Linked DNA regions of Alligator mississippiensis. The protein of the gene in region 3 purifies or fractionates together with the protein of the main gene of each other region. This does not show direct contact. Links are inferred from orthologs where the notes say so. Each region holds a gene or a part of one and is shown on either strand. Other genes may lie near its edges.

Region 1 (7,166 bases), on a different chromosome or scaffold from region 3:
GGCCCCGCTTCTTACAGAGACGCCTCGTCCCAGTGGGGGTGCGCGGGGCTCAGGGCTGGGGGGAGGCGGTCTCCCGGCAGGCACTGAGCAGGGCAGCCCCGGGCAGGCATGGGGTCCTTCAGGCCCCGCCGCGGGAGGGGCGGGGCTTAGAGGGACCAGAGGGAGAGGGGCGGGGCTCAGAGGGAGGCGCGTGGGCTGGCTGGGCTGTTCGGAGGAAGCGCGTTCCCCTTTCCGCGCACGCGCGGTAGGAGGTACTCTTTTGTGTGGGTGGATGGAGATGTCCTTGTGTGCACTAACGCGCGGGCTCTCCAGAATAGGCAGCGGAAAGTGAAGTCAAGCAGGCCTCCTGCCCACGGGGAAAGATCTCTGCCCTTCGAGCCTTAAATGAAGATAAGCAAGCGCCCATCGGCACCGGGCCTAAAACATTACCCAAATGATGGCCCTGTCCCCTCACGGGGAGTCAAAGGTCGGGGAAGGGCAGAAGGGGGTGAAACAAAATAAACCCAGGACTTCTTGGTTTTGCTTTAAAATCTGGTCATTGCATTTATTTTTAGGCATACACAGAGAAGTCAGGCTGCACCTAGGAGCAACAGGAAGGAGCTGTAGGGAGCTAAACCAGAGATCACTAATAAACATGTAGTTTAAGGATTACAAGCTTGCCTCTGGCCTGTCTTACTGCCACCCTCCTTCTCACCATCCCTACTGCACAGTTCTCCCTCGCCTCCAGCACCAAAAGCCTTCTGTGTTAACTGTGTTAACCCTTACACCTCGCTAGCACCACGCTCTGGATGCCCTCCTACGCTGTCCTGATTTCCCACCATGAAAAGTGGGTGCCCTGATACTGCTAGTGCACTTACACATCATGTAAGGCAGATGTCCTCAGTCTTTTCTGGAATGTGTATATATTCTGGCTAGGATTCTTCGCTTACAAGTTTTAGTCCTAAATTACCATAAACTGTTAAAGAAAATCAGGATGCTGACAAAACAAAAAACTTTTTGCAGCGATTCTCTGATGGCTGAGGAGATCCCTTGTGGAAAATAGCTAGACGGAGTATCACACGACTGTTCTGCAGCAGTCAGTGTAGTGCAACGTGCCTTATGACACTCCTTACAGCTGAAATCATTGAGTCACTAGTGCAATAGTGGGCCAAAGAGCAGTTTGGCAGTAGGGTATGAAGTATTCAGCACCCATAAAGTGGCATGCAAAGACATGCCTCAATGCAGTTTCCCCTTCCAACAGAAATGCTTTCACCCCCCAAGCCCCCACAGATTAGTACATTTAGACACAGAAGATAAGTATTGTATAGCAGAAGTTAGGCGAATTCCTCATGAGAGAACATACAAAAAGAGGGAACGGAAATTGGGATGAAAAGGGAATGAGAAAAATCAGTATGCTTTAGTACTGGTTGGACTATACATTAGAAATAGGGGTCTTATTAAAGTAAAATACTGATTGTTGCCTATAACAGTCCATTGTTCAAAGCCATTATTCATTCAGAATATATTTATATAAAATGGACAATGTACCTTCCCGAATTCAGAACTTAAAACTTTAGTTATGTTTTGGCATCATTTTAAGGAATCTAAAAATACAAGTAATTACCGCCCCACCCTTATGGAACAATAATGAATCATCTGGCTTACTAGATGTTATATACACTGTATCTGAAGAAAGAACGCACACACTCCCTTGTATCAACATGCTAGCATAAAGAGATCAAAACCCTTCAACCACCCCTCATTGCCTAAATCTCCAAGAGAAGGGGATGGTCACTGGAGCTACAGTGGTGATATGCCATGAAAGGAAAAAGTACATAAGTAGGTAGCCCTCTCAGAGTTTGGCTAGTTCTGATACCATCATTCTGTAAATACTCACCAATGTGTATACGGTCTTACTTTTGCCTCAACTATCTTTACCATTCACACATTTCCTACAGCCTGTATTTCTTAGTCAGCACCACTTTACATACACACACTGCAAGTCTTTGTCAGGGTGCACAAGGCTGCTGTCAGTGAAACCTGCCTGGGTTTGGTGGAAAAAGTGATCACAGAAGCCACATTGTAAAGTTGATATGAAAATTTACTAGCTTAGTCATAAGGTCTGCATATCCATCATGCTAAGCATGTAAAACGAAGCTGGAGTTAAAGTTGAATACAAATATAATAAATTAACAATAAAGCACTAATTCAAACTTGCATTTATCAATAATCAAGACAATCCAAAGGCAAGAAAAAAACCCCACCCCAGACACCTAAAAAACCCCACAGAGCTGTGTGGTTAAGATGGATCGCAACAGATGATCTGTGTTAAGAGCTTGTCAACCACCTCAGCTGCATCAAGTTAGCTACAGATAAAAAAATTAAACCAATTTAGTTAAACTGGTGCAAGAGAATTTATTTAAACCAGACTTCTTCACTTTAATTTAACCCAATTGGGAACAGATTTAAGATAAACATTTAAAAAAAAAAAATAAGCGTCTATTCAGGTGTTTGTACCAGTTAATTTGAACTGGTGCCAATGCAGATGTTGCCAGCCCTTCACAATAACAGCAGCAGATTTTTAAAATGTTGTAGGTCATCAGAGTTTTGGGAGTAGGAAAGAGAAGGATTCAAGGAACAGAGTGGCTGCAGGAAGGCCTAGAGCTCTGAAATTCTGCATCCTGTCTGAACTGAGGGAAGTCTCTGTGCCATTAGTTTTATAGACATTAGGGCTGGAAGGGACCCCGTGAAATCATCGGGTCCAGCCCCCACCCAAAGGGCAGGAAGTCAGCTGGGGTCAGATCATCCCAGCAAGATAAGCATCCAAGTATTTCTTGAAGGTATCCAGAGTAGGTGCTTGCACCACTTCTAGGGGAAATCTATTAGTTCTGGAGAATCACTTTGGCTCTGTAGTAAGTACTAATACTGCTGCTTACTGTAAATTTTGCTTGCTTCTTTTGTATAAGTATGGGCATGATCCATTCTAATTGATCCTATTGTAGCAAAAAGAATGAGAAAATAAGAAACTTCAGAGAAGAAGCTAATAGCCAACTGGGGACACACATACTTACTTTTTCTCTTGTGTTGTTTTTTTTTTTTACTTAACGACCGATTCTTTTCCTTCTTCTTTTTCCTTTCTAGTGAGATCTCCATATCCCTTAACATTCTTCCCTATAGCTTAGAGAACAAGCATAGTAAGTACTGCTGTGCTGCAGCTCTATAAAACTCTAGGGATTCTAAGCTGTCTACATTGGTAAGACCTTGCCCCTTGTAGGAGGAGCTATTTTAAGGCCTTTTTGAAGAGGAAGGACACTCTGAGTCTTCTGCTTTTAAAGGGATCAAGATTTTCTGATAACAAAATATAAGAGCTTTCAAATAACTACATGTAAATATATAAATGCAAATAGAACTCTCTTGTCAAAACTGAGCCTGGTTCAGAGAAGCCCAGGTTCCCTAATTCACTGAAGCAGAATAATGGAATTTGCTATAAGAAATGTGTGCAATGGCTTGCACCTGTGAGACCAGTCAGCAAACAGAAGGAGTACTTCTCACTCCTGCTGTACTATTGGGAATTTCCCTCTCTTACTTCTGTTTGAACTGCATACATACTAGCCATGTTCAGTTCTTTATTAAAAAGTAATTAATTAAGCTTCATATTGCCTTCTTGAGATATTACCCCCATTTTTCAGACAAAAAAACTGAAGAGAAGAATTTCAGATCTCTAGGTTCTCAAGCCTGTGTTTTAACCATGCCTTTTGGTACTACTTTGTCTAATACAACTTTCTGTATATATGGATACTACACATCTGTTTTCAGTGCCTACACCCCGCCCCCTCTCCACATGGGGTAAGAACTGGGTATATGTTAGATATGCTAATGAATTTAGCTGGTTGCAACTACCATTAAGGCAAATATGCCATAAGATGTCTCCCAAATAATATAGGAGAAATAATAGAATATATGGCATGATTAACTGTTGGGACTTGATATTTGTAATGTACAGGCTATATGTTGAAGGCTCATATGAGTAGGAAGTAGCCATGCAGGACTTCTGAAACGATGAGTGTAAACCTTCCCTAAGCCTCCAGTTGCAGAGTTTTGTTTTCTGGCAAGACCACTGATTTTTTTCATAAGAGAGCAGAGCTCCCCTTACTTACTGTGTGTCTCTGTGGTCCTACGTCAGAAGGCACTACTACTTCAGTGAGACTTCTCCCTGCAGAAAATAGGGCTGAAAGGGACTTCCAGAGATCATATAGTCCAAAACTGTACAAGGCTGCAAGAGGTTAATTCTGAGGTTGATATGCTCCCTGCAGTAGTATGAATGATTGATCTGAATGAATGAATTTCTCTTTATTCATCCCAGCTGGCAACCTACTTGCTAAGCTTATTCTCCTGCATAGTAACCATTTCCTGTAAAATGTCTAGGGTGCCTGAAGCCATCACCCTGCACACAAAGCGTGAAATTGCACTCATATGGTTTGTTCTACGGATTTTACTGAGATTACTCCATCTATAAGTTAGACATCGCCTCTGTTGTGTGAGGTTTAGGGGAACAATCTTCCCCAAATCCTATTGCATACACTTTCTAGAACACCTTCTGTGTATTTATTTTATTCATTTTATTCTGGAGTAAAAAAAAAAACCACCAGTGGGGAAACTGTACCTAATACCTGATAGTTCTATAGAGACTTGTATGCAAATTAATAAATAGTGGTGTTATTGCTCCCATCACCCAAACATTCTAGTAGGTTTATGCTCTGGACACTTTTGTTTTATATTTGTCACACAAAGAGAGGGAAATACAGGACCTTTAGGGATACATAACCGCAACATATTCCAGCCAGGACATTCCTGAGCACACCCATCCACCCGCTCCTGCCTGCATACTCCAAATCTGGATATATTCAGGCAACGCCACTCCAGCTATCTCTGGTGTCTATTCACAAGCATGTTGTAGACTGAAGTTCAAGAAGCAATCTTATTGGGATGCCCCTTCAGCAGGCTATTAATGTTTAAATAGGCAATGCCTACTTGCATGAGTAAGCACAGACCCATGCCATTTCAAGTTATTGAGCTATAAACTGCACCCAGGGAGCAGTTCCTACTGAACACCCTGAAGATTGTAGTATACTGGCTGAATTTTTAAGCAACTCATTTCCCATTTTGAAATAAACCCCCAAATCTTTATGTATGTATGTATTTATTTATTTTATTATATTATTTCAACAAGATCGCTTTGCCATTTTGGGATTTTTCTCCTGGAGGGAACTTTTTCTGAAGGCCATTAGTTCTTGCTGTTGATATGGGCAAGAGGAAAAGCAGAGGTCACACAGGTCGAAACAGTTTGCATATTACATTGTAGTCTGACCTCTGCTTCTAAATGACATTACATTTGTAAGTGAGTCTGTGTTAAAGAGAAGTCAGACCGTGCATACTAAGAACTGAAACTCTTATGCCAAAGCCTCCTTTCTCCTCTTACCCTCCCATTAACCCTTGCTAACTTCAACACTATTGACAAGAAGGCAACAGCACTTTAGTCATGCACATTTCATGGGGCTCATTAATGACAAACATCTTTAACTAAGAGACAGCAGGGGCTGTTTATACTGTTGCAGTACAGTACCATGGGGCAGGTATCTAAGACATGCCATGTCTGATCTGTGGATGCTACTGTCCAAGCTGGAAGTTATCTTATCAACATATGTCAGTTTATAGCCATGACCTGAAGGCAATTCACTTTCTGTTTTCTGTGTAACTATAAGTTTGATAATAGATGGATATTCAGCCTATCAAAACAAGGTACAAGAGCTAACGACTATAAGCTGAAGCTAAGCAATTTAGACTAGAAATATAGCCCACACTCGAGTTAGGGTCGTTAACCTTTGCAACAGCTTGCCAATAATTGTAGTGGACTTTCCACTACCAAACATAATAGGTTCCCGTCTTATGCAGGAAGCCAGACTAGGTGATCACAATTAATGAAACTTCATGGCCAGTCACTCCTTAGCCTCTCTCTGAGGTCATCACCAAGTGCTAATATTTCACATCCTGAGCTTCACCAACTTCCCAGTGACCAAGCACTCTCTTTCTGATCAATCAAATAAAACCCCCTCCAATCTGCTACTGTCTCCTTTAGTCTTTTCTGTACAATACTTACGGCTTTCTGCCTCCTGCTGAGTTGAAAGCTGCATATTCCACGCTGGTTTGTTCCAGCCTTACTATAACCTGTCTCTCCAGCTGATTGGTGAGGCATGGCCAACCAGGAGAGGAACACAAAGTAGTGTAAACCAAAGATTTAAGCTATGACTTTAGAACTTGTAAAACTATATTTAATGCCAACAGAATGTATGTTACAATATTTTACTTGATCTGCAACGAACTTTCACAATCACAGACACCCTAAATATGCCTCCGTTATGCTGGCTTGAACGTCCGATGGGTAGCATGGCACTAACCAGTCTACTTTCTGTAATGGTGAGGAAAATGCAGTCAACCCACTCGGAACAAATTGATAAAATTAGACAGGAAGAACTGAAGGTTAGCCACGTTTCTGTAGGGTTAAGAGCTCAGCTAGGAAGCAAAACTGGAGTACTAGAGTGTTCTCAAAGGAAGTTTCTGCATTTACACAAGTCTGGACTCCTCTAGAGATGGAAGCAATGCTGATTGCCATCACAGGAGAAAGTCTTAGCCTCCTGCCTCTTCAGAGTTCTGAGATTTACCTAACTTAATGCAGCCTGTATTCTTGGAGGTCTCAGTATCTCCACCATGTGGCTAGATACATATACTAATACAGGTGATGCAGCACCAACACGTAAGAATAAGCATTATTTTATGCTTAACACGGATGAGATAATAAAAAGACAGGGGCCGAGGACAAAAGGGAAATCAAAAATGACAAATTACATGAATAATGAGCCAATCACACAGCAGTAAGCAAACATTCCTTGTGCTAATTGCATAAAATCCCCACAGTAATGGTACATGCACATAAACCACTTATCATATAACAAAGGGGGACAACGATTGACTACATCAGCAGCTCTGCAGTACCTATGGACACGCATGCTCTTGCCTCACAGGAAATACAGGCTAAACTGTAGTAATTACCCCTCCTCTGCTGAAGGCTAAGCTACTGCAGTTTAAGTCTACTTACTATGGGATAAGAGGATGTGTGTGGGCAGTTACCA
Region 2 (7,551 bases), on a different chromosome or scaffold from region 3:
ATGGGAGCAAGCAAAAAAAAAAAAAATTACTTGTAGCTACTAGCATAAGCAGCAATTTCAGCTTAAGAGCCTGCAACTGCCATTGTGTGCACTCCTGGTCCATCCCAATCAGACAACCTACCTGCCTCCACCTGTATGCTTGACGCACTCCACATACTCTTCTTCCAGGATTGCACAGCAATGAGGAAATACAAATAAGAGGCTAAACATTTAACAGTGCCCTCCCATTACACAACCACACATTTCTCAAACAAAGTAAAAGACACGTTTTTTTCAGAACATTATGCATTCAGCTAATATGTAATTTGCAACAACGACAGCTAAGGCTGCAACTGAAGACTTCCTGTGATCTCACATTGGCCCTGCAGCACAAAGAAAAGAACCAATTTAGACTAGAAAAAAAATTGTGAAAATGAGCATCTATTAGATTTAGATGCATTTCCAGAGTGATGTGAAGATAAAAATAAAGAACTACTGGAATGCATGAAACTAGAACTACTGGAATGAGGATTTTCTTTGATGATGTTACAGGTTAGCTAACCAAGCTGAGAATTTAGATTGTATTATCAGAAAAATAAATGACCATGCTACGATACAAATGGCAAAAGGAAGTAGAGTTGAGGTGAGTTGCTTAAGCTTAAATTCATTTCCTGACTTGTGAGAGAAGCTGCCCAGCTTTAACAACTATTTTAAACGTAGAATTTTCTCATGCAGAAAAATAAATAGAAGGGCAAGTAAACTGTGAAACTACAAAAGTGTGTGCACATGCGTGTGCTCAGCCTCTTGTACACTCGCTATACAACTCCTCAGTAGAGTACGTATGCTTGCAGTGACCGACATGGGACCCAGAGGCAGATCCAGCTCCACCTCTACCAAACTGCATGTGTGCATTAGAGTAAAATGTCACCCTTCATCAGGCGTCCACATCAACTGAATCGCCACAGCAGCCTCACCTTCTCCAAGATAAAATCGTCCACACAAAAGTGCCTGTGCAAATCAGGAAGTCTGACAGCAAGACAGAAGGTACCTTGTTCTTGTCCCACACGGAGGTAAGTATGTACTGTGGGAACCACTTATCATGAACCTGAATATGTTGAAATTCCACCTACGGAGGGAAGGACTGTCTCAATCTGCTTCAATCCATTTTAGCAAACCGTCATACTACCCTCATAATTTATGAGACCCATTTTCTCTTTTCTGCCAGAGCAAATGCAACAGAGCATTAGAAGCTACTGGCATCTGATGCTGCACTGCTGGCCCAGAAGAGTGAAGGAAGGACGGCCTTTGGCTCTGGAGTGAAGTGTGTGTGTGGGTGAGGAGGGAATGACAATGCAGGTTTCTGACCAGGCTCTTATGCTGCTGCTCCCCAGAGAAGGAAGAGGCTCCCCACCCAGGTGCCACTCGAGTTTCACTCCCCGAGAGCCTTGAGAATATCAACAGACCACTGCCTTCCTTCAAGACTTACCTGCCAATTCAGTTCCTCTCCTGCCTCCCAGATGCTCTCAATGACTTTGAAAAGAACAAGAATAAAGACCATAAACTCCAAAAAAACAGGAGCTTCCAGGTATGGAGAAATGCTCACTTGAAAGGCTTTAGTGCTCATGGGGAATGAGAAAAGAGACTCAACTTCTCTGAGCAGGGGTCTCAGAGTTAACTGACTCCACTACAAACCAGTCCTGCAGGCAAGATATTGGGCCTCTGAGCTTTCCTTCTTAACAAAGTCCCTCTCAGAGGCTTTTTCCTATAAGCAGCAGGATTTCTGAACTGAAAGGCTCACATCAGAGAGAGAGAGAACAGGGCTTTGCAAAGGCAGTAAGATCACTGGGCAATAAGCTACACAATTACATCTGTGATGAGTTGGAGGCCACTTATTCTCTCCACCCCACAAATTGCACAGCTCCACTTGGATGATGGGTGGAGCAAAAAGCAGAGGAGGACTGTTCACCTGCAGAGCCATCTCCTGGCATCTCATGGAGCACAAGCCAGGTAACACCACACAAAATGGAAGGTCAATCTCTACCGAATGCATCCTAAGCAAAGAGAAGGAAAGAGTCCCTTGCAAGGGAACACCTAGCCTCTCCAGACTCCTGCCCTTGGGTTAGGAGTGGGGTGGACTTGCTGGCAGAGCAGCTTCAGCAAATTAACTGCAGAGGGCAATGGAGGAAAGAGGGAGCTCCTGGCAGGGAAGGTGGCTCTTCCCCACTGCTCCACCAGCTCAGCTCTGCAAGGTAATGCAGAGATCAGCAACATCCATGAGCCAACAAAGCAGTGCCCCACTCAAAGCATCACTGGGCAGCTTGGCACAGCGGTGGTTCTGCGTGGCCCACGGTTCTTTTGTGCACCACCAGGCCTGCAAAGGAAACTCACTCCTCTCCTCTTCTGAAACAACGCTTCTCAGGTCATCAGCCCTGGAGCCCTAAAAGAAGGAAGACTCCCAGTGCCATCTCCAACAGGAGAGAGAGAGAGAGAGGCAGGGGGAGGGGAGAAAGGAACCAGTAACCCACAGAAAAGAAGTAAATGCTGAGAAAAGCCGAGAGAAGAGCTGACTCCTCGACTATCACTCAGACTGCTGTCCCCACAGCTTTTCCTCTCACAGCAAAGTTCAGGATTTGAAACCGGGTCACTCTAAGCTTGCTAGTAATTTGCCGCTTGTGAAAGAGAAAAGGAGTCCTGCACATTCGGCTGATGGGAGAGGCGACAACAAAGTTACCAGGAAACACAAGATTAGGCAGGGAGCAGAAAGCAGAGCTGCAAATGAGGCAGGCAGGCAGCACACCGGGCAGAGAGCAGAAAGCGGAGCAGCAGGCCGGGGGCATAGCGCAGGGAGCAGAAAGCAGAGCAGGCAGGAGGCACACAGGGTAGGGAGCAGAGAGCCCGGCAGATTGGGCAGGGGGTACAGGGCAGGGAGCAGAAAGCAGAGCAGCAGGTGGGGCAGAGGCACAGGAAAGGAAACAGAGAGCAGAACAGACAAGCAGCACAGAGCAGGGAGCAGCGCAGCAGACGGTGTGGGGGCACAAGGCGAGAAGCAGAAAGCAGAGCAGCAGTCGGGGCTAGCGGCACTCACCGGCTCGGCGTGGGCATCCGGAAGCGCAGACCTCTGTCCCCACGTGACCGGCGGGCGGGGCGGGGCCTGGGCGCAGAGCCCCGCCCCCTGGCTGGCGGGGCCCGGGCTCCGGGCTCCGGGCTCCGCCGAGCCCGCTCCCGCCCGGCGGCTGGTCGGCGCCACTGGCTGAGCTCGCGCAGGGGGGGCGGGGCCGCCCGGGCTGTCGCGCATTCAGTGCCCAGAGCAGCGCAGAGCCCGGCAGCGCGCGGGGCGGGGCGGGGCGTGGCGGGGCGGGCCTCCGGTGCCGCCCCCCGGAGCATTGCTGGGCTGGGCCGGGCTGGGCTGATTTGAGCCCCTGCCCGGGTGCGTGCGGCGGGCGCTGCGAGCGGGGCTGGCTACCGACACCCGTGGGCTACTCGTGAGACAAACCCGCAGGCGTCCAGCAGGCCTCCGTCATGGCAAAAATGTTGGCGCCTGTCGCAAAGGCGGCTTTCAGACCGAAGACTTGCTCCGTTATTTTGCCGCCATCAAAAAACCCTATGGAAGTGGAGAGGCAGCAACTTCTGAGGGGTGCCTCGAGTCTAACAAGGATGCTTCAGGTCTAAAAGGTTGCTTTCCCTGTACAACTCTCCTGCCCCAACCAGGATTCGGCAGGGTGGGTCATTTGCTATGGAGCAGACTGCGTGGGGATATGGGAGGTTTGCTGATGCTTGAATCTTTGAATCCAGGGCAGCTCTCTTTTGAAAAGACAAGCGCCATCTCAACCCCAAAGGGCCTGGGCTGGCCCAGGAATCTGAGGGGGGAAGTCTCAGCCTTGTGCTGTCCAAAGAGCAGACCAGTTGATCAGAGTGGTTGTTTCTGGCCTTGATGCTGCACAAGGGTGCAAAGGGGAGTTGGCTGAAAATATTAGGAGAATTCACATGTGTGTTCCCCCCACCCCAAACTCACCACTTTGTGTAACTGAAATCATGACACGTGTTATCTTAATGATTGTGTAGTCATGATGGTCCATAAATTATGCCAGGATTTCTTAGGGTGACACATTTCCACACGTGAAAGGTGAGGAAGACCCTCGTCTCTTTTTGATAGACCGTGATCTCGCTGTGATGAGCTGCTTTTGTTCTGCCAATTGTATGCCTGCTACCCTTCAGTGAGCTAAAACACAAAAAGGAAGCTGATAGGAAGTGGAAACTTGGACAAACAACTAGGGAGGGGTATAACAGTATTGCTCAGGCATGCGGGGATGAAATCAGGAAGGCCAAAGCACTACTGGAGTTTCAGTTGGCAAGGGCCATGAAAGGTAATAAGAAGGGTTTCTACAAGTATGTTAGCAACAAGAGGAAGATCAGGGAAATTGTGGGTCTATTACTAAATCAGGGAGGCAGCCTAGTGACAGACGATGAGGAAAAGGCTGAAGTACTTGATGCCTTTTTCGCCTCAGTCTTCACAGGCAAGGTCAGCTCCCAGACTAGTACACCTGGCAGCACAGTTTTGGAAGGAGGTAAGCAGCCAACTGTGGCAAAAATACAGGTATGGGGCTATTTAGAAAATCTGGACATGCACAAGTGTATGGGGCTGGATGGGATGCTGAAGGAATTAGCCAATGTGATTGCAGAGCCTCTGGCCATCATCTTTGAAAGCTCATGCTAATTGCAAGAGGTCCCAGAAGACTGGAAAAGGGCAAATATAGTGCCCATCTTTAAGAAAGGGAAGGAGGATCCAGGGAACTATAGACTGGTCAGCCTCAACTTAGTCCCCGGAAAAATCATGGAGCAGGTCCTCAAGGAATCCATTTCTAAGAACCTTTGGAGGAGAAGGAGGTGACTAGGAACAGTCGGCATGGATTCACCAAGGGCAAGTCATGCCTGACCAACCTCATTGCCTTCTGTGATGAGATGATTGGCTCTGTGGATGTGGGAAGGAGCAGTGGACATGACATACCTTAAACTTTACCAAGCCTTTTGATATCGTCTTCCACAACATTCTTGTAAGCAAGCTAAGGAAGTGTACAGGTTGGTTAAATGATCTGTAAGGTTGATAGAAAACTGGCTAGATCACTAGGCTTAGAGGGTAGTAGTCAATGGCTTTAATGTGTAGTTGGCAGCCAGTATCAAGTGGAGTGTCCCAGGGGTTGGTCCTGGAGCCTTTTTTTTCAATCCACGTAGGACTGAACAATCCCATTCACTGATACAGGCTGGGGACCAACTGGCTAAGCAGCAGCTCTGAAGTAAAGGACCTGGGGGTTACAGTGGACAATAAACTGAATATTATCCACCAGTATGCCCTTGTTGCCAAGAAGGCTAACAGCATACTGGGCTGCATTAGTCGGAGCATTGCCAGCAAATCAAGGGAAGTGATTCTTCCCTTCTGTTCAGCACTGGTGAGGCCGCATCTGGAGTAGCATCCAGTTTTGGGCCCCCCGCTACAGAAATGATGTAGACAAATTGGAGAGTCCTGCAGAGGGCAATGAAAATGGTTAGCGGCCTGGGACACATGACTTATGAGGTGTGGCTGAGAGAACTGGCCTTATTTAGTCTAGAGAAGAGAAAACTGAGAGGGGATTTAATAGCAGCTTTCAGCTACCCAAAGTGTGGTACCGAAGAGGATGGAAGTAGGCTGTTCTCAGTGGTGGCAGATTTCAGAAAAACGGTCTCAAGTTGCAGCAAAGGAAGTTTAGGTTAGATATTAAGAAGAGCTTTCTCACTAGGAGGGTGGTAGAGCACTGGAATACGTTACCCAGGGCGGTGGTGGAATCTCCATCGTTGGAGGTTTTTAAGACCCGGCTAGACAAAACCTTGGCTGGGATGATGTAGTTGGGGACAGTCCTCCTTTAAGCAGGGGTTGGACTAGATGACCTCCTGAGGTCCCTTCCAACGCTAATTTTCTGTGATTCTACCCCTGGAAATTTCTCTCACCCCTTCCCATAGTTGGTTTTTACAATGCTGTGCTTGGCTTGTGATCTCTTCTGGTCAGATCTGATGAAGAATGCCTTGCCTTTGAAAGCTTGTCCAGCTCTACAGTTGGTCCAATAACTGTACAGTTGGTCCAATAAAAGACATCATCCTAAGGAATCCTTGCCTTGCACAATTCATTTTAAAACTTTGTCAGTTCTGTAGAGGGCATTTTCCTGATGCATCTTCCTTTTCCTGGACTTCTTAAATTGGAAAAATTTCAGCTGTTGTGAGGGCAGCCAGGCTGAGATTGAGCAAGGGAGCAGTAGCGGTAACTGAAAAGGCTCAGTCAGCACATAGCAGCTGTCACCACCAAACTGCAAGGCACGTTCAGATCCCTGTACTTCTAGCTGTGGTCACCAAATGTGCTGCTGAGCATAAAAAGTGCAGTATGGAATTGTCCCTGGCAGCCAGCAAAAGGCAGGCAAGTGTCTACGTGTAATTTCTGGCTGCTGGGAGGCAGCTAAAGTCTTCCAGTCAGTGAAAGTGCCACAGAAGGTGCTTTGAGCATGAACAAATTTGATCTCTAGATTCTCTCTGGAGATGCTTAATAGCAGGAGTAAAAGTTCTGGCTGTGGGGCCAAGACAAAGGTTGGCAAATGCTAGAGGAACTAATTGTTAAAGCAGAAACACAACGTGTGCCTCCCCCTATGCTGTACTCCCAGGCAAATCCCTGCATTCACATGGAAGTAATGTTACATGTTGAGCTCCTTGGGGAACCCAGGCCTAGCTGCATGTGTCTTCTTTCTCTGAGTGTCCAAACTGAGCTGCCCCACCACTGATTTCCAGAAATGCTGAGGACAGACAAGTGCAGCAAAAGTCAGAGGAGAGTTGCTGGGGAGATTCATTAGACTTTGGCATTGTGGTCTGTAGTAATATGCCTAAAACTGGGAATTGGGGGGCTTTGTCTATATGTGGCCCCTCAACTTGCATGTCTGTTCCCTGCCCAGCCCTGCACCTGTTCTCCCATCCAGCTCTACGATCAGAGTTGGGCAGGGAACAGAGTCTTCAGACTCTGCCAGTAGGGAGTTCCCTACCCCTGCTCCCCAATCACGGAGCCAGGGCTGGAAGATCCTTATCGCCCCGCCAGCTTTGCAACTGCGTTGCTGACACTGAAAGATAAGGATATCCCAGACCCCAGCTTCCTGATCTCAGTGGCGAAGCCGGGGTGGGGAGATAAGGAACTCCCAGCTCCTGGTCCCCGATCCTGATCTCAGAGCGGGGCCTGGGAACTCATAGATTTCATAGATTTCATAGACATTAGGGCTGGAAGGGACCTCAGAAGATCATCGAGTCCAGCCCCCTGCCCCAGGGGCAGGAAGTCAGTTGGGGTCACAGGATCCCAGCAAGATAAACATCCAATTTTCTCTTGAAGGCGTTCAGAGTAGGTGCTTGAACCACCTCCGATGGCAGGCAATTCCAGACCTTGGGGGCTCAGACAGTAAAGAAATTCTTCCTTATGTCCAGCCTGAAATGCTCTTGCAGGAGTTTGTAACCGTTCAACCTTGTCATCCCTTGGGGCACTCTGGTGAACAATCGCTCACCCAGATCCTGGTG
Region 3 (7,984 bases):
AGAACCAACCAAATTTAAAGAGGAGAGGCGCGTCAAGGTCTTACATAATCAGAAGTCATTACAGAAGCAGGTTTTAGAAATAGAGAGACTCAGCTAGAAAAAGAATCCAACACTAACAGGCAATTGTTAGACAGCAATTGCTAAAGCCAGTGTCATGCTTGACTAGAACATGTTTGACCTGAACATGTGAACACTATAAAGCACTTGGATCCTTATGACTTTGCCTTCGAATAGGTAGGTTAGCACAAATTTTTCCAACATGTTTAACAAGGCAGAAGTACTGCTTTTAACCCAAGCTGTTCCATAAACTAGTGAGCAAGTCCCAACTACTTTGGGCATTCTGGCAGCCAGGCCAATTCAGCCATCTCATGCATTGTCATCCCCCCCCCAAATAAAAGTTCTAGCATCAGAAACTTAGACAAACACACTATTTGAACTTAACCCATTTCAGGCTGGGCAATAAAAAAAAAAACAAACAAAAAAACCCCAAAAAACAAAAAACCAAAACAGTACTTTTAAACAAGGACAGAAGAGGCATTATGCTACAAATCTCAGCCTTAAGAGTATCCTCTTTGTCACAGTTTCTTCAACTTCTGTTACCAATAATAAACACCCTTGTGACAGTTACAAGTCAAGCTTGGGTAGAAAAAGTCTACAGTAGAGACTGCAAGGCTACGAAGCAGATACTATATACTAGCATTAAAACAACTCTTCTAGACTTCAAATTCCCTCCTAGAAACTGCATTGATTTGAAGAGGCACACTAGTCTCAAACTATGCAAGAATTGCATTGGTTTAAGTTCACAATTTACTAGTGGATATCAAAATTCAACTCCAGCCATTATGCAACTCCACCTGTCCAGAGGACCAGCAGCTCCCTCCATCTTAACTGCATCATAACATCCTGCACTATTATCCCTTTAACTTGCATTCTAGACCTCTGCTGGGATGCATTAGGTCTGTATTTCTGCACCCATCCAGTCAGGGTTGCCCATGTCAGTCTGCAAATTGCTGGCTCACAGAAACATGAAACACATTCAGAGAAGAGAAATCCAATGTAAGTTCATTTGGAACTTACATTCCTGGAAAAAGATAACCCGATTGTCTATGAGGAAATCTGGCATATACAAACTTTGTCCATAACTTTGTCCTGACAGGAAACAGCCTACCCACATAAAAAGGTGCAGCCCTTGCAGTGCAAAAAACTTATATTAAAGTCTATTTCAAAGTACAGTAAAACTACACTTGTCTTTGGGACATTTGTTCATAGCAGTAAAGCAAGTAAGACTCAAGCTACAGCAGCCAGTTTGTCTTAAAACAGGATAACTTTTTTTTTTTGAGCCAACACAGTGCCCATGTTATACCACAGGCCAAAGCTAGCTCTGCCCCCAGCAACTATCCAGATGTAGTGCCATCTTGTACTGAAAAACCCACCTAAAAAGTCGATTTTGGATTTGGGCTGTTAGTATGTACGGGATAGCTACTACAGGTAAACTGCTATTGATACCAGAGCCATCACGGGTATCTGCAGTACTCTACCACACAGACCTCTCAAAAAATGTTGCCACTTGCTTGTGAAAATTCCTTGAAAGCCAGGCTTCACAAAACCCAGCGTTCTGCCTCAAGCTACTTTATAGCTACACAAAAGTTGTATCATGACAACAGCACTTAATCTAAATGGGGGCATGGGGGGCGGGGGGGGGGAAGAAGACTAACAACAACAAAAAGCCTGCAGTTCCTTAGTTTAACTTCTTAGCTCCTGAGAGTCTTCACCATTACTCTTCCCATCTGTTCAAGGGTGGCTGTTGGAAAAAAAAACAGGACTTGTGGTTCTTTCACAGCAGTTCTGCTTATTTCAGCAGTTTAACAGTATCTTGCACTTCTCTAGACTAGAGGCCTGTGATTGCTATCAGTTGAGAGAACCCACAAGAGAAGTGTTTGCCATTTCATCTCCAGCCTGGCGCTTGGTTCGTTTAGGAAGAACAACATTCAACCTAGGATACTTTCCTTGTTCACTCAATTCACCATACCTTGACAAAGTCTTATTAGTTCATGGATAGCAAGTCATGTGTGTTTGGTCAGCTGCTGAAGTCACAAGGGAAAAACAGCATGCTTCTTCCTGACTAAGAGGGTATGGCATACAACAGCTTCAATTACATAGCAATATCCAGCTGACCACCCTGACATTACCCCAGACCTATTTGTAACTAGGAGCAGTTGAGCAAACGCTACGGGCAGCCACACTTGCTCTGTAGAAGCCAGACTGGGCACTGGCTGACACCACTAACTGACAGCCAAGGAAACCAGTATTTCCAAGTCAGTCATATTAAACACAGAAAGCCAGAGCCAAGCAGTGGCACGCACACTCTTCAGCAGGGCTGCCTGGGGGGTGAGGCCCTTCTGCCCCAGGCAGGGGTCCAACAACACTGGGTTACAGCTTGTCAGGCACACACAGCTGCCAGCGAGAACAGCCAGTGCCGGCCACCAGACACCAGCAACCGCTCTGAGCTGCCCGTGCACTGCTACAATCCCACCTTGCCTGTTCAGCCCCAGCACCTCGCCCCCCCCCCCCGACACACAATATCCGCTCCTCCAGCTGGGCTGGGACGGGGCCGGAGCACAGGCGAGGCTAGATGAGGCGGAGCAGAAGCCGCGGGGGGACCCGCCCCCGCCCTACGGGCGGAGAGAGGGGGCTGCACCACCCCCGGCCACGGGCCCCGTGCAGGCCTAAGTTGCCCCTTGCGCAACAACCGTCCACCAAACCCGGGGGGGGTGCGCGGGGGGAGAGGGCGGGTCCTGCCGCACCGCCCCCGCGGGAGGAGACAAAGACCCCCCCAAACCGCCCCGCCCGGGGTCCCCCGGGGGCGCCGCCACCCTGAGGCCCGGGAGCGGAGGGAGGGAACAGCGACACTCACCGTCTGGTCGGGCCGCGGCACTGCGAGTGTGGCCGCCTCTGCGCTCCGCTCCGCTTTAATGGGCCCCGACAGCTCCGCTTTCACTTCCGCCTCCCCCTCCCCAGCTTCCGGTCACGGGACCCGCCCGGCGACGCGTAACGTCAGCGCGCAAGGGAGAGGCCGCGTCGGGACCGCATCACGTGACCCCCCGCCGGCCATCTTGGGCCCGAGCATGGGCCTGGTGGGTGGGGTTTGTGTGTCACGTGGGGCGGGACGGGGTATCGTAGCAATGCAGGTTTGTGCCCGTGTTGACGCTCGTAATCCGGATTAAAACTGTAACTCCCGTGGCCGCCTGCAGCTGGCTGCTGGGACCGGGGAAGGCTTGTCCAGACAGGCTGGGACAATGGTTCACACGCACATTTAGCCCTGACTGGCCCCGGGGCCACGTGTTAATTGATATCCCTCACAGGGACTTCAAGAGGGGCAGGGGGGTTGTCCCGCAGCAGGACCCCGCCCGAGTGGCCTTGTCCCAGGACAGTCAGCCTGGCCGCACCTGCTGGTGGGGACAGCCCTTCGTGTCCCTGGCGCAGGCCCCTGGACGCGCCGGCTGCGTGACCGGCAGGGACAGGAACAAATCCCGCGGCAGGAGGACTGGGAAAAGCACGCGTCTGGCGCTCTGCGAGGCCCCGCGTGCATCCTAATGTCATTAAGTGAAATCAGTCATAATCTGCTGCTTGCTTTATTTCTTGCTCTGCTTCCTCTCTGCTCAAGCCGAGCTTTGTGACCAATTGCCCCTGTATCGGGTTTTGCTGCTGCTCAGCTCCACGGCCTCTTCTGCGAGGGACCCTGGCTGCTAAAAAGCAGGGTCGCCACCGTCCAGGAGTCTCCAGGGTTTAGACGTAAATCTCCAGGAGACTGCTGAGGGGCACCGGAGGGATAAACGATAGGGCATTCATTAAAAGAAATATCAAATGTTGAATTTGATTTATACGGTAGTCCGGTGAGTTTTTAAAGCATAACAGCAACGTGCTTTTGCCTTCCTGATGTAAAGTCTAAGCGCCGTAACGTGTGACTGGTACACACAAGCATGTGGCACATTTGAATTGTGTGCTGGCATTTTGGTAACCTGGAATAGATTCAGAGTTGGCAACCTTCCTAAAAACCCTTGTGACTCTACGCACCTCTGCAGGCGTGCAGTCCCCCCCTTAAATCTCATGCTTTAGTCTATAATCCTCCTTCCCTCAGACATGCACAAGCAAATTAGAGCAGGGGGTAAAATGTGGGCCAAATGTGGAGCTCCCAACTGGTTGAGAAATTTGGCAGCAGGGGAGCAGTGGCCATTAATATGGTCCCTGCTGCCAAATTCTCTGACCCCCCCAGCCCATCACACAACACAGCCAGATCAGGGCTGGGACACGCTCCCTTCCCCTGCACGGCTGGATCAGGGCCAGGCTGGGCTGTCCCCACCACCCCGCTTTCCCTCTCCATGCAGCCACGGCTGTACTTGCCCTGGGCGTTGGATTGTGACCACCAGCCAGATCCAACCCGTGGACAGACCAGGCACTGCTCATCTGGCCCACTAGGGAAAAAGGCGGATCACCACTGAATTAGGATAAATCCTTGAACAGAACTTCTAGGACAAGATAGCTGTAAAATGTCAGTGTTGATTCACTTGCTTCTCATAACGTCTGGACCCTCCTCAGTTATAAAGGCTTATACGTATACGGTTGGATCCTGCAAATACGTGCTCAATTTTAAACTTTAGCATTCCCAAATCAGTGGGATTTCTTATATTTGAAGTTCAGTATGTGCATAAGTGGTTGCAGGATAAGGGTTGGGCCTTAGTGAAGAGGCCTTTTCTCTGGACTAGCCATTAAGCTATTTGATAAACCAATGATTATATAAATGTTAAAGATTTATTTGGGAAGAAATTAAAACGGTACCTACTACTTGACTACTAATGCTACTATTCTACATAGCTTGTAAAAAAATCAGTGACCCATCGCTATTTTATATTTGATTTATATTTTCCTAGCACCCAGGTACCCCAATCATAGACCAACAATTTGCCATTCTTGAGATTTCTAAGGAAAGAAACAGAAATAAACACAATTTCTTGCCAGTCTTCTAGCATAACAATCAATAAACAAAGATTGATTCAAAGCTGAACTAATTTTTATTCTACAAGGCTGGTTTGTAAGTGCTACATTGAGCATAGCAGTCTGGTAACAAGAGAGTTTGTTACGTAAAAGATTTGCTTATAAATTAAAAATGGTGAGCTGCAAAACGTGTCTAGGTGCACTTGTTAAGCAATGATTAATATAAGAACAAGCAGAAGAGCTGCAATGGGATTGTGTAAGCTCACTGACACCCATATGTGTAAGAAACAGTAACTGTCCTGTATATCCTGCCATGCATACTGGTAGAAGACTCATTGCATTATTCAGCGTGTACTTTCATATGTTATAGTATTTATCTTAATCACATGATCAGTTAGCTAACCTGTGGATCAGGGAAAGGAAAAACTAAAAGGACCCAGGCAAATTAAGTAAAAGATAATTTTAGCAAAGTTCTTTAGAGGCATGGTGAAAAAGTAAAACCCTATATATTATTTTTAATTCAGACTTGAATTCTTGTATCTGCAAGAGGTGAAAAAGCTTATGATTAAGAATAAAAGAATAAACTTAGGAATCAAGACACTGGTTTTTCTCTACCTATTGAGACCTGCTGATAGAAGAGCAGTGCAGTATTATGTTACAAATAAACTATTATCATCGTTATAATCTGTTGGGATTTGCAACCCTGTCAAAAAAAATATCCATCACAGAATCCACTGCATCTTGGCTGTATTGCTGCAAAGGGAACCAAATGAAAATGGCTTATGTGAGAGTCAGGTCTTCAGACCTGGTACAATATCATTGCAATCAATGAGAGATTTAATATCGCCTGCATGAGGTACTGAATGGGACACTTAGAGCAGAGGATTCAAAGTCAAGAGAGGTTATATCCCTGACTTACATGACACCGAATAAGCCATTTACCTATTCTATGCCTCAGCCTCCCCATCTGTAGGATGCTGCTCGTGATATGACCCTGCTTGCAATAGGGTTCTGATGTTTATTAATGGTTACTAAGCACACTGAGATCATTAAACGGGAAGGACAGGGTGGTAATTAGGGTAATGGACTATTGAACAGAAGAATAAAGACTTAGTGAAAAGGTCTAGGACAGAAATCACAAAGGAGAACCATATCTCTAGACATGGTGCTACCAAAATCCACCCCATGGAGCCTATTTTGCCATGGGTTTCAGGCGTGGAGTGACTATAGCAGTTGCTCTATTGGTGTATTCCCCTGAGAAAAGGCTGTAACATGTTGGATGAACTGCAAACACAGTGCCAGGCTATTTAGCATAATCCCAGAGGAAGACCTGTTTTGGGTTATTCAGGCCTGAGATCCTAAACTGCTCGTCTGCCCTGGGACAGAAGTCAAGTGACAACTGCCATGAATCTCTTTTCAGCCAGCGCTGACCGGACAGCTGTTGGGCTCCTCTGCCCACTTTGCTAAAGGTTTCTTTTTATTTTTTCCTGCATGGTACATAATGGAAAATCCTGCCTTCTCTTGTGGTGTACAGTGATTCTGGCAACAATGCCACTTGTTTATTTTCAGTGGGATATTTTTATTACATGGTGGTTAGAAAAAAACCTAGCACAAGGCTTGGATGTTGCTTTGTTTCTCTTTCTGCATAACTGACAGCTGTGCCATGCAAAAATGTTCTTATGGTGGCTTGCTAATCCTTGTAGGGAATGCTGCCTTTCATCAGATGAATGGGCTCCAATCCAGCTCCCATTGAAGTGAACAGGACGTTTGCCATATATAAGCACCACAACTGGTTGTGTACGTTGCAGTTAAATTCAAAGACACAGAAGTTAAAGAGGAAAGATGTTATGAAGACAGATGGAGGAATGGATCAAGGCATCCTGATAATTTTGTTTGGATCCTAACGACAGACACCAAAATCAACCAAAATACAAATAAGGCTCTGCTAAAACAAAAGCTCAGTTCATCAGAAACCCTTAGGAAGAGATTGGCCAGCACAAACTCTTTTCATAGCCTGGAAGGAAGTCAGTGTTTCCTGTCCAGTTCCTTGAGAATTAAAAACAAATCAAACCTTGAATATTGGATCTTTTTGAAACTGTATCTCAACTCTTTGCAGTTGTAATGGTGTAGGAATTGGTGGCCTGCCTATGACAGACATTCATACATGGTAATAGATTCAGGTCCTTTTGCTGGGTAGCCTGAAGTAGTCCTTTTTTGGGTTGTCTGACGTAAGACATCAAGACATTTTCTTATATGAATTCCTGCAAATCAGGAAGTAAAAATCTGCTCCACCATCGTCTTGTTCTCTGTGACGAACAGTCTCCATTAGCTAACCTGTCTACCAAGCTAAATACTTGGGACACTTTGGAGCACTTAGAACACCTCCTTCCATTGATTTCCTTTAAACCTCCAGTTGCCTTACAGCACAACTGTTTCTCACACCTTGGGACACATGCCCCCATGTGCAGCAAACTTCTGCAAGGTAGCTGACAGAAAGGCATGGGGAAGCAGAAGATGGGAAAGTGGAACTAAAAATGTGGGAAAGGAAGAAATAGAACAAATGAAGAACAGATCAACAGTATCAGTAAGGTTGTTGGAGCAGTTCCTGTGTGGTTGAAGTGACAAAGTGTCACTTTTTTATTATCCGTAATATGGAATCATAGGGGAAACAGCAGTTTAGCCAGCTGACACAGGAGTATGGGACTCAAAAATGTTAGTTTAATCCAGCTCTACACTAGACAATACAAACAAAGTAAACAGGAAACACATGGAAACGTTTCATGGAAGAACTGGCAGAGAGGCTGGTCTAATCTAACCCAAATGTAGTATTTCTAATAATAAACCTATCCTGATAGTATCACCAGCCCCAGTTTGTGGGGCTGAACCTTTAGGCAATGCTACTGGCTGCAAAATTCAAGAAGTCTTAAAGGTGTCTGTTTTTATAATGCAATTTTAAAAACTTTCTTGTTCCTTTTACAAGTGTCACCCAATT
Region 4 (8,211 bases), on a different chromosome or scaffold from region 3:
TACTACACTTAATTAAACTAAATATTAAACTTAAATATTAATGCGTAGTAACCATAATGCATTAATGCATGTGTAGGTGTGCCCAGTGGGTAGGTTTTGTGAAAGACAGTGGATGTAATGCAACATCACAATAAGGAGAGGGAGCAAGAGAAGCTGGCTGTATAAACAGATAAACAGTGGTCCTTGCTTCTATGCAAACATAAAGATATGTGGAACTTGTGGATAGGCATTAAGAGAGCACCATCACTTATTCTCCCATATGATCTGTTGGGAGTCTGGTGTCATACAGAATGGAAAAGTCAAGTCCCAGGGAAAAATGACAGACTGGTCTCCATGAGGAGTCTTAAGAGACAGATCCATTATTATTATTATTATTATTATTATTATTATTATCATAATCATCATCACCATCATCATCATAAAAGATTAAACTGCCTAATCTTATAATTGCAATCCTGAAAATCCCCACCCAATTGCCACCTGACCCTGGAGGCACCTCAATTCCAGAGATGCCTTACTTTTGATCTTTCCATTTCCACGTACCTAAAATTCCACTACTCCATATACCAAGAAGTGTCCTGGATTTGAGATGCTCCAGGAATTTCTCTGTTTGAGAAAGCTGTATTCTCCATATGTGCCATTATCCCTCAATCTGAGTGGCAGCATCTTGCCTAGCTCATGCCTAAACCAAATCTGCGTCTAGAAATGATTCATTTGTCTGCTTGAGTCCCCTGAGGGACTCAGTCCTGTAGCTCAGGGGTGCCACAAGTGACACAGGCAGCCTCTGTGTGTGGCACATGTCAGATCAGGGAGTGGACAGGCAGCACTGTGGCAGATAGGACAGGGAGCAGAAAGCAGAGCAGCAGTTTGGGCAGGGGAAGGGGATTGAAATGGCACTTGGGGAGTGTACAAGACTAATTTATGGCATACCTGCCAAAAAAGGGTGACCCCAAGTGCTGTAGTTGTTCTCAGAGTATGGTTGCCACACACACTCAGGCTGGTACAAGCACAGTGCCAGTTGTGCCAGCTGTCTTTCAAAACGGAACTGGAGGAGGTGGTGCCAGCCCAGAGGTTAGATCACTAACCCTGGTACCTAGCCCTAGGTACACTCCATGCATGTACTCAAGGTATACTTTCTGCTCGGTGTGCTGCTTGTTTTAGAACTCATTCTGAGGCACCTAACTCATCCAATCTGCTGTATAGGGAGCTCAAGCACCGAACACAGGTTGTATGTGCTGGTCTAGGAGCCAGCTGCCTTAGAAGTTAAGTGTGGCAATGCCTTCATTTTAGTTACTTAAGGGTTTTTTTGATCTATCCTAGGAGACTTTTCTATGGCCAAGTCTTGCATAAGCCATTTTATAAATGGGGTAGAGCCATCTGAGAAATTCTCTTATAAACAGATACCATCAAAGTGGCTCATGGAACTATCTTAGGCATTTTTATAGTACCATCAAATCCTTTCCAAATGCTACTGATGGTTAAATGCTAATATTACTTATGTCTTAGTGAGTCTGATATAATGTGGGAGACGATAAAATTTACCAGAAGGGCATCGAGGAGCTGTTAACTTGGCACATGAATACAGAGACTCTGTTTTTAGAACAATTAGGCCCCAGTGGCTGTGTGTGGGCACCAGGATCCACCCATGCAGAGCAGCTAACAGAACTGGGGCCTTAATTTGGAATCTAAAGTTGTGCACAATTTATAAACTGAGCTGCTCCTGGCAGCAGGAAAACCCATTGCTGTGGCAACCGTAACTGTGATTAGTGAAAATCAGAGGCTCTCCCTCATTTTCAATTCATAGGCATTTAAAATGTCTTGTTCTGAGGTCTGCCAATGCGGGAATCAAAGGATGATTGCCCTGACAGTGCTGTTTATTCATAATCTTTCTCCTCTCCCCTGCTCCTTTTTAAGGTTGTTATTAGCGACGCCCAAAAATTTGTAATAAAGAGCAAAACCAGAATGAGTTTCCACTGGTTCCTTTCTCCACTTTGGTGTAAGTATACCAAGAGAGGTGTTACGGGTTACCGTTAACCATTCTAAAGGCACTTAAAATGAGAGTGTCCGCGCATTAATGGGTGTTAAACTGTGTTAAGTTTAAGATACTCTCTAAGTATTCCCCTTACGCACGTGGCTGTATTCCCCTTATGTACTATTATTCTTGCCTCTGAGTGGAAGCCAATATTCTAGGCCTCGTGGGTTGTTTCCAGTTGGAGGAGGAACTGATGACAGAGCAAGGTATTTCTTTGATGCAATCCTGTTTATTAAAAGGTCCTGTTTCTCTGAACGTAGGACAGTCGCGTGGCAGGAGGCAGTTTGCAGAATTCCAAACCTCTTCCCAGGCAGCACTCTGCCCAAAGCAGTTTTCTCTTGACTGTGCTTTTCTCGTCATGTTCTTGCTGCTTTTTGTCTGCTTTTTTCTGTCTCCAACCAAAGTAATCTCCAATTCCTGTATTTGACTTCAGTTTAGTAACATAGATGGCAGTTTCTATTGGTTTGGTTATCACTAAACAAAATGATCTTTACTTTTCCCTTCATTTGGCGTGTATAGAGGATGGCCACTGGCCAGCATGCCCAGCATCTTGAAATGTCAAACCTATTACCTTAAATTGCCATAGGTATTGTCTTGGTGTGAAATGAGTCCTTTCTTTGTTCTTTGATCCACTTCCACTTGTCAGTACTTACTTTAAGATCCAATGTGGAAAACCAGATTGAGTCTGTTTACAGCATCTAGATTAACATCTATTTTGTCATAAAACCTAAGAATCCTTCAAAGTAGCTTCATGTTATTTCAATAGTTAAAATAGAATGTGCTGTCATTATTTATCTTAAGCAGAAACATAGATAAGGCCCAAGATCAGACTGAAGTCTCAATTATCCCTTTCTGATACATTTTTAAATAGCTTGTAAAGCCTTGTTCTCACTGGTAGAGGATGAGGGGCTGACTACTGGACAGAATTCCTCCTATATCAGTTTTGAGGTAGCCCAGTGCAGGACAGTATATGCTTTACAGGACTGCTGGAACAACTGGTTTCTAACCAGAAAGTCTCTTAGATCCTTTTGCTGCTCCCCATTTAAGTGTACAGCACTGGACCCAGTCCAGTGGAAATTCTGCCAGCTCAGCTTTACCTCTTTCTCCCTTTGTAGTTTTCTTCTGTGCCAGCATTTCCTAAATTCATTCTTCACAATTTTTTAGTATTAGCTGCTCATCAAGAACATTCAGCAAGTGAACAGAAATCCATTTCTACTTCATTAGAACACAAGCAGCTAAAATTCCCCTGAGACCCTGGGTCCCAAAGCCCCCTGAGACCCTGGGTCTCAAGCCCTCCCCATCTTTCCTTTCCTGTTATGGTTTCTGTCCTGAAGCAACAAGGTAACTTACTGTAGGACCAGTAAAATAACTATTCTGCATTTTTTTCCTCCAGTAGAGACAGTGATTGGAAAATGGAACCAATTCAAAAACCGGGGAAATTGGTTTTGAAAGTAAGACTTCTAGAATTTCAGCAAGAAGTCTGAATAGCCAAGATAGAGGATGAGCTAATAATTGGTTTGGATATCATATGTAGTTAATAACCATGTAATTAAATGCCAGGAAATGTGTCCAACAAATTAACTCAGTGGAAATTCCTTTTAAAGAATTAAATGAAATTCAGTCAAAAGCAGCCAGGCAGTGCACAACAGCAAGAGACAGAAAGAGGAGGACTGGAACTGTAGTCTAGACCTAATACCAAGAGAGGACACTTTTTTGGGGGCAGAGTGCTGCTGTGGGAAGAGGCTTGGGATTGTGAGCCAGAAAACAGTTTCCTAGAGTCCCTGAATAAAGTAGGGATGAACACACATCTTTTTGTGTACACTGTCTGGAAATAAACCAGACTAAACCAAAGAAATGCCCGACTCCTATATCTGCTTCACTTCCTAAGGAAACAACCCACCATCAAGTCCTGAATATTGGCAACAGAGGGTAACAGAATTGAAACTGGCCCTACTTTCTCAGCTTTTCTCAGTCCTTTTGTATATCCTGGCGATGATATTGGTACTGGCTATGCAGTAGTCACTGATACCGAGGGGGACCGCCTCTGCAGAAGCTTTCCACCTTGCCCTGAGGGTGGCGAGACTTAGGCTCTTGCCGGTCATTGGTAGCAGTGAGTTTCTCAGTTGAGGGCCTTTCACCATAAACACCCTTGCCTTTGGCTCTGAGAAGTTCACCCGAGGTTCCTGCTCGTCATCCTCACCATGGCTGCTTCATGACCTGGAACGGGAAGTGATGATGTAAAACGCAACTATCTCTATAACTTTGGACTTCGTCTACTTCCATATGCCCTTCTGCTTCTTCCACCGCTCCTGGGAGACGGCCAACACCCTTTAAATAAAACCCTCCGGCCAAAAATGCCACCGAGTCCTCTGAAACCCTGCCTCTCTCCCCCCGAGTACTGACACCACCCTGCTGTGCAGGGCCGTCCTTCGGGTACGGCGCGACCGCTCTGAGCCCCGGAGAGACTGCGGCCCCCACTGCGGGACCTGCCTGGAGCTGGCGGCTCAGCCCCGCGCCGCGGGAGAAGCACGGAGACCTCTCCTCGTTGTGGGGGTACCACGGCCCTGCCACCCTGCTAGGCTCGGCTCTGCTCCTGTGTCACCCTCAGCGCTTCCTTCTCACCCACGGCCCCGTCTGCCCACCGCTCTCTCTGTAGGCCCAAGGTCCGGTTTGACTTCTCCTCTTGATTCGGGACCACTTCGCCCCCCGACTCGACGGCCGTCTCCTGCTCTCGGCCGGCCTCTCGCGCCCACCGACCCTGCATCACCGCTCAGCAGGAAGAAGTCCCCATACCCCAGTGTCACCCCCCCGTCCCTTTCTTCCCCCCACTCCCTTGCTGGTGCTGGGCAGCTCCTTGGACCCCTGCCCCGGGGAGGGGGCAGGGGGAGCTTCCTTGTCGTCCAAGATTGGGGGGAAAAAAGCACATCCTGTTCCCCTTCCACCCTGCTGCGCGGTGCCAGGCCCGCCCGCATCCTCCCGGGCTCTGCCTCCGCCTCCGCCCTGCTCCTTCCTTTGCCCGCCCCCGCCGCTCAGAGCCCGGCTGCAGCCGCTGCAGCGCCCGTGCGAGCGAGCGAGCCAGCGAGGCAGGGAGGCGCCTGGAGCCCGCGGGGCCGCAGGTAACGGGGCCGGGGGGATGCATCCCGGGGCCGGGGTTCGCATGCGGGTCCTGCGCCGAGCACCGCGGGCTGGCGGGCGCGGCCCGGGCGGCGGCGCGGGCTGGAGGTGACCTTCCCGCGGCGCGGCAGGGCCCGGGAGGCCTCGCTGCCCTGACTCAGCCCCTGCGCCGGGCCCGCGGGGATGCTCCCCGCGCCTCTCCATCGGCCTCAGGCCCCAGGGAGCCTCAGCCCGCGCTTCTCCCGGGGGCCAGGCCGGGACACACGTTTCGGGGCCTGCGTAGCCCTGGAGGGGCTCATCCAGGTGGCACAAAGGTCTGTCCATCGCGTGGCCGCCGGAGCCCCCCTCACTTCTGCACGCGTAGCCTCGCCTTCGCCGTTCCCGGGTCCGGAGGGAGCAAAGGTCGCCGCGGCTCCACCCGCAGCGCCGGCCCAGCCGTGGTGTCGGCCGGTCTGACCCCTCGGTTTAGCCCGTCCGGGCCACCGCCGCCGCGTGAGAGACGCGGGCGAATCGGGCCGAGCGAGTCCTCGCCAGAGCGGGAGAGAGACCAGAAGCGAACGCGGGCAGCGCGCCCTGGTTGCGCGTGCCGTTCAGCATCGTGTCTTGGTTAATGTTAATCTGGGGCAAGGCGCCTGTCGGAGGTGAAGGGGTGCAGGTCGTAGCCGTGTTGGTCTAAGGACACGGGCGGACAAGGTTCTTTGGGTGAATCTCAAATCTTTTATTCGCCCAGCTTCAATAGTTGGAAAAAAATATTTAAGCAAGCTTTCGGGTTCGCCAGGCCGAGTCAGAGGTGAATTCCCTTTCTGTGGGGCAGGCACCGCAGTGGGGAGCAGCAAGCGAGTCTGCCTCTGCCTAGCAGCAGGTGGGCTGGAGATGTACCTTGCAGAGGGACTAAATCAGTGCCCTCGCCCCTCTGCCTAGTCACAGCCTGGCTTGGACCCACTCTTTCCAGTGGTGGTAAGGCGGCTCAGCCAACATGGTCCCTGGCTATTTGTTAAAGCAAAAAACCACAGCTCCAAGCGGAGCAGAATTCACCGACGCTGTTGGGTTCGGCCTCCCGGGATAGCAGTAAAACCGAGTCCATGTTGGATTTGATGTTGCCCAACAACGGCAGAAGCCATGTAATTCAGGTTGTATTGGAGGATCACAGAAAATTTTGTCTTCTCATTCATGTGACATTTTTCAGACTTTCTCTGAAGACCGACTTGTACACTGCAGACCTCTCAAAAATGCCACCCGGAACAAGAAAAAACAAACTTCATGCAACTCCCTACTTGTTCCTTTCATTTTTACCCATCCTTCTCTGTACTCTTTCTCTGTCGTCTTCCTACTCTTCTGTCTGATTGTATGGTGGGGCCTGAACGGGGTGGCCCGGATCAGTCTGTTGCTATGGCAGCCGGCGATGTCCCCGGTTCAGGGGGTGACTTTCCTGTAGGAGGAAATCTGCAGGATCAAAGCAGCGAGAAGGCAAATCCCAAACAGGAATTTTGGTGATTTAGCAAATGAAACGCACGCTCATATAAGATTAAATATGATAAATGCTTTTTTCTCCTGGGAAAGGAATCAGCAAAACAATATATGCTGGAGGACCAACATTTAATGGGTCCACTCCTCTGATGTGGGTGTGTGTAGATGACATGGTAGACATCGTATGGCATAAAGAGTGCCTGGTGCCCTTGTCAGGGTCTCACTGCTACCCCCTGTGTCTTGATACCTGGTGGCATTGTGCTACACTGGTGCTGTAACAGTGTATCTCCTAGGCTAGCTGGGCCTATTATTCCACTGTCTACCAGACTGGGGCAGGGAGAATTGTATCCCTGGCTTTGGTTTAATATATATCTTAAATCATACAAATAAACAGGAAAAGGCTTCAGTGAAATGAAGTCTGTATCTACTGCATTTTCACCTGTAGAATCAAGAGCAGACACTTTAAAAAAATTTCCTTAATTCCCTAAACACAGATCATTAAACTAGGTTTATACATATGTGCTAAAGGTCTCCTAAAAATGTTTATTATTTGATAAATCCTAAAGAGAGAGGAACCACTAGTATGTGGAATACATCAGTATTTAAGGCCTGTTTATTTGGTCTGTCATGTGTTGGTTTGGGGTGGTTTAAAACATGTGTGCTAGCTCAGGAAACTACCAGTGAGCCCCTGCAAACTGTTTCATGAAGTCCGTGGGGTGCTGCGGGGGCTCAGGAGCATGCTTGGGTACAACAGCTGGCTGGCTTCAGGCTTAAGTTGGAAGTCACTGTGGTGACTTAGTTATATGGCTTCAGTGGAGTTGTACAATTGTGCAGAGTTTATGCTTCAGCACTTAATTCATGTGTAAGGCAAAGCGTTCACAAAGTGTGTACCTAGCTCCAGATTCTGGAGAACCTGATGTGTGGGTTTAGTTGAAGACATCATTTCAGTGGTAGTGCTGGTGTTTTAAGTTGACCACATGCAGAAGTCGTGTCAGGATTTGGCCCATAGGGCCTGATCAATACCTGAACAGACTTGTTTTTTGGACAGGAGCTGTAGTTTGAGGCACTGATGGCTGTTTTCCGTGTAGATCGTTTTTCCATAGGAACAGAGGACTGAAAGGAGTGTCTCTGGCCACTAGATCCAGTCCCCTGCATTATCTGCAAGCAAACATTTACCTACAGGTGCCAAAAATGTGCATTCCAACCCTCGCATGCCACAGCGACAAGGCACAGCACCAGATATGCAAATAATCCCCTGTACAGCAGTTCAGTGTTTTGCAGTTTTATGGTACAAACTACTACCCCTCATTTTGTAATATTATTTTTAATTTATGAATTAAACTTTGGCCCGAGAACCCAGAACATTGCTTACAGTTGTGCCTCTGTGCACTTGAAGATCATTATCCCAGCTGTTGAATCAGATGTCTTAGGTTTGTGGATCATAAGGCACAAACCAAGGTGTTGTTCTGCCTTCTGGTCTGCACAGGGAGATTGTAATTTGTCTCATAATCTGTGGTTTTGTATTGCTGTGATGTGCACCAGTCACTCGTTGTTTAGTGAACATATCCTTGGCCTGTATTATGGAAAGACTGCATTTA

What was found. Proteins that work in one complex are often made in the same cells at the same time.
Region 1: the proteins of RAB7A (region 3) and VDAC2 purify together in Homo sapiens (affinity purification with mass spectrometry; 3 studies listed by BioGRID and IntAct, with this or other methods). This does not show direct contact. The link is inferred for Alligator mississippiensis from reciprocal best matches to the Homo sapiens genes RAB7A and VDAC2.
Region 2: the proteins of RAB7A (region 3) and PLEKHM1 purify together in Homo sapiens (affinity purification with western blotting; 5 studies listed by BioGRID and IntAct, with this or other methods). This does not show direct contact. The link is inferred for Alligator mississippiensis from reciprocal best matches to the Homo sapiens genes RAB7A and PLEKHM1.
Region 4: the proteins of RAB7A (region 3) and VDAC1 purify together in Homo sapiens (affinity purification with mass spectrometry; 3 studies listed by BioGRID and IntAct, with this or other methods). This does not show direct contact. The link is inferred for Alligator mississippiensis from reciprocal best matches to the Homo sapiens genes RAB7A and VDAC1.

What each region holds. Positions count from the first base shown.
Region 1 is NC_081829.1:27,927,522-27,934,687, reverse strand, and holds the start of VDAC2 (voltage-dependent anion-selective channel protein 2), read right to left. Parts: upstream 3,148-7,166; 5' UTR 3,145-3,147; coding exon 3,051-3,144; intron 655-3,050; exon of another isoform or gene 555-654; intron 467-554; exon of another isoform or gene 313-466; intron 39-312; exon of another isoform or gene 1-38. UniProt on the Homo sapiens protein: Non-selective voltage-gated ion channel that mediates the transport of anions and cations through the mitochondrion outer membrane and plasma membrane.
Region 2 is NC_081827.1:160,284,095-160,291,645, reverse strand, and holds the start of PLEKHM1 (pleckstrin homology domain-containing family M member 1), read right to left. Parts: upstream 3,148-7,551; 5' UTR 3,065-3,147; intron 3,037-3,064; exon of another isoform or gene 122-3,036; intron 97-121; exon of another isoform or gene 1-96. UniProt on the Homo sapiens protein: Acts as a multivalent adapter protein that regulates Rab7-dependent and HOPS complex-dependent fusion events in the endolysosomal system and couples autophagic and the endocytic trafficking pathways.
Region 3 is NC_081835.1:19,831,851-19,839,834, reverse strand, and holds the start of RAB7A (ras-related protein Rab-7a), read right to left. Parts: upstream 3,021-7,984; 5' UTR 2,915-3,020; intron 1-2,914.
Region 4 is NC_081832.1:69,786,985-69,795,195, reverse strand, and holds the start of VDAC1 (voltage-dependent anion-selective channel protein 1), read left to right. Parts: upstream 1-5,064; 5' UTR 5,065-5,148; intron 5,149-8,211. UniProt on the Homo sapiens protein: Non-selective voltage-gated ion channel that mediates the transport of anions and cations through the mitochondrion outer membrane and plasma membrane.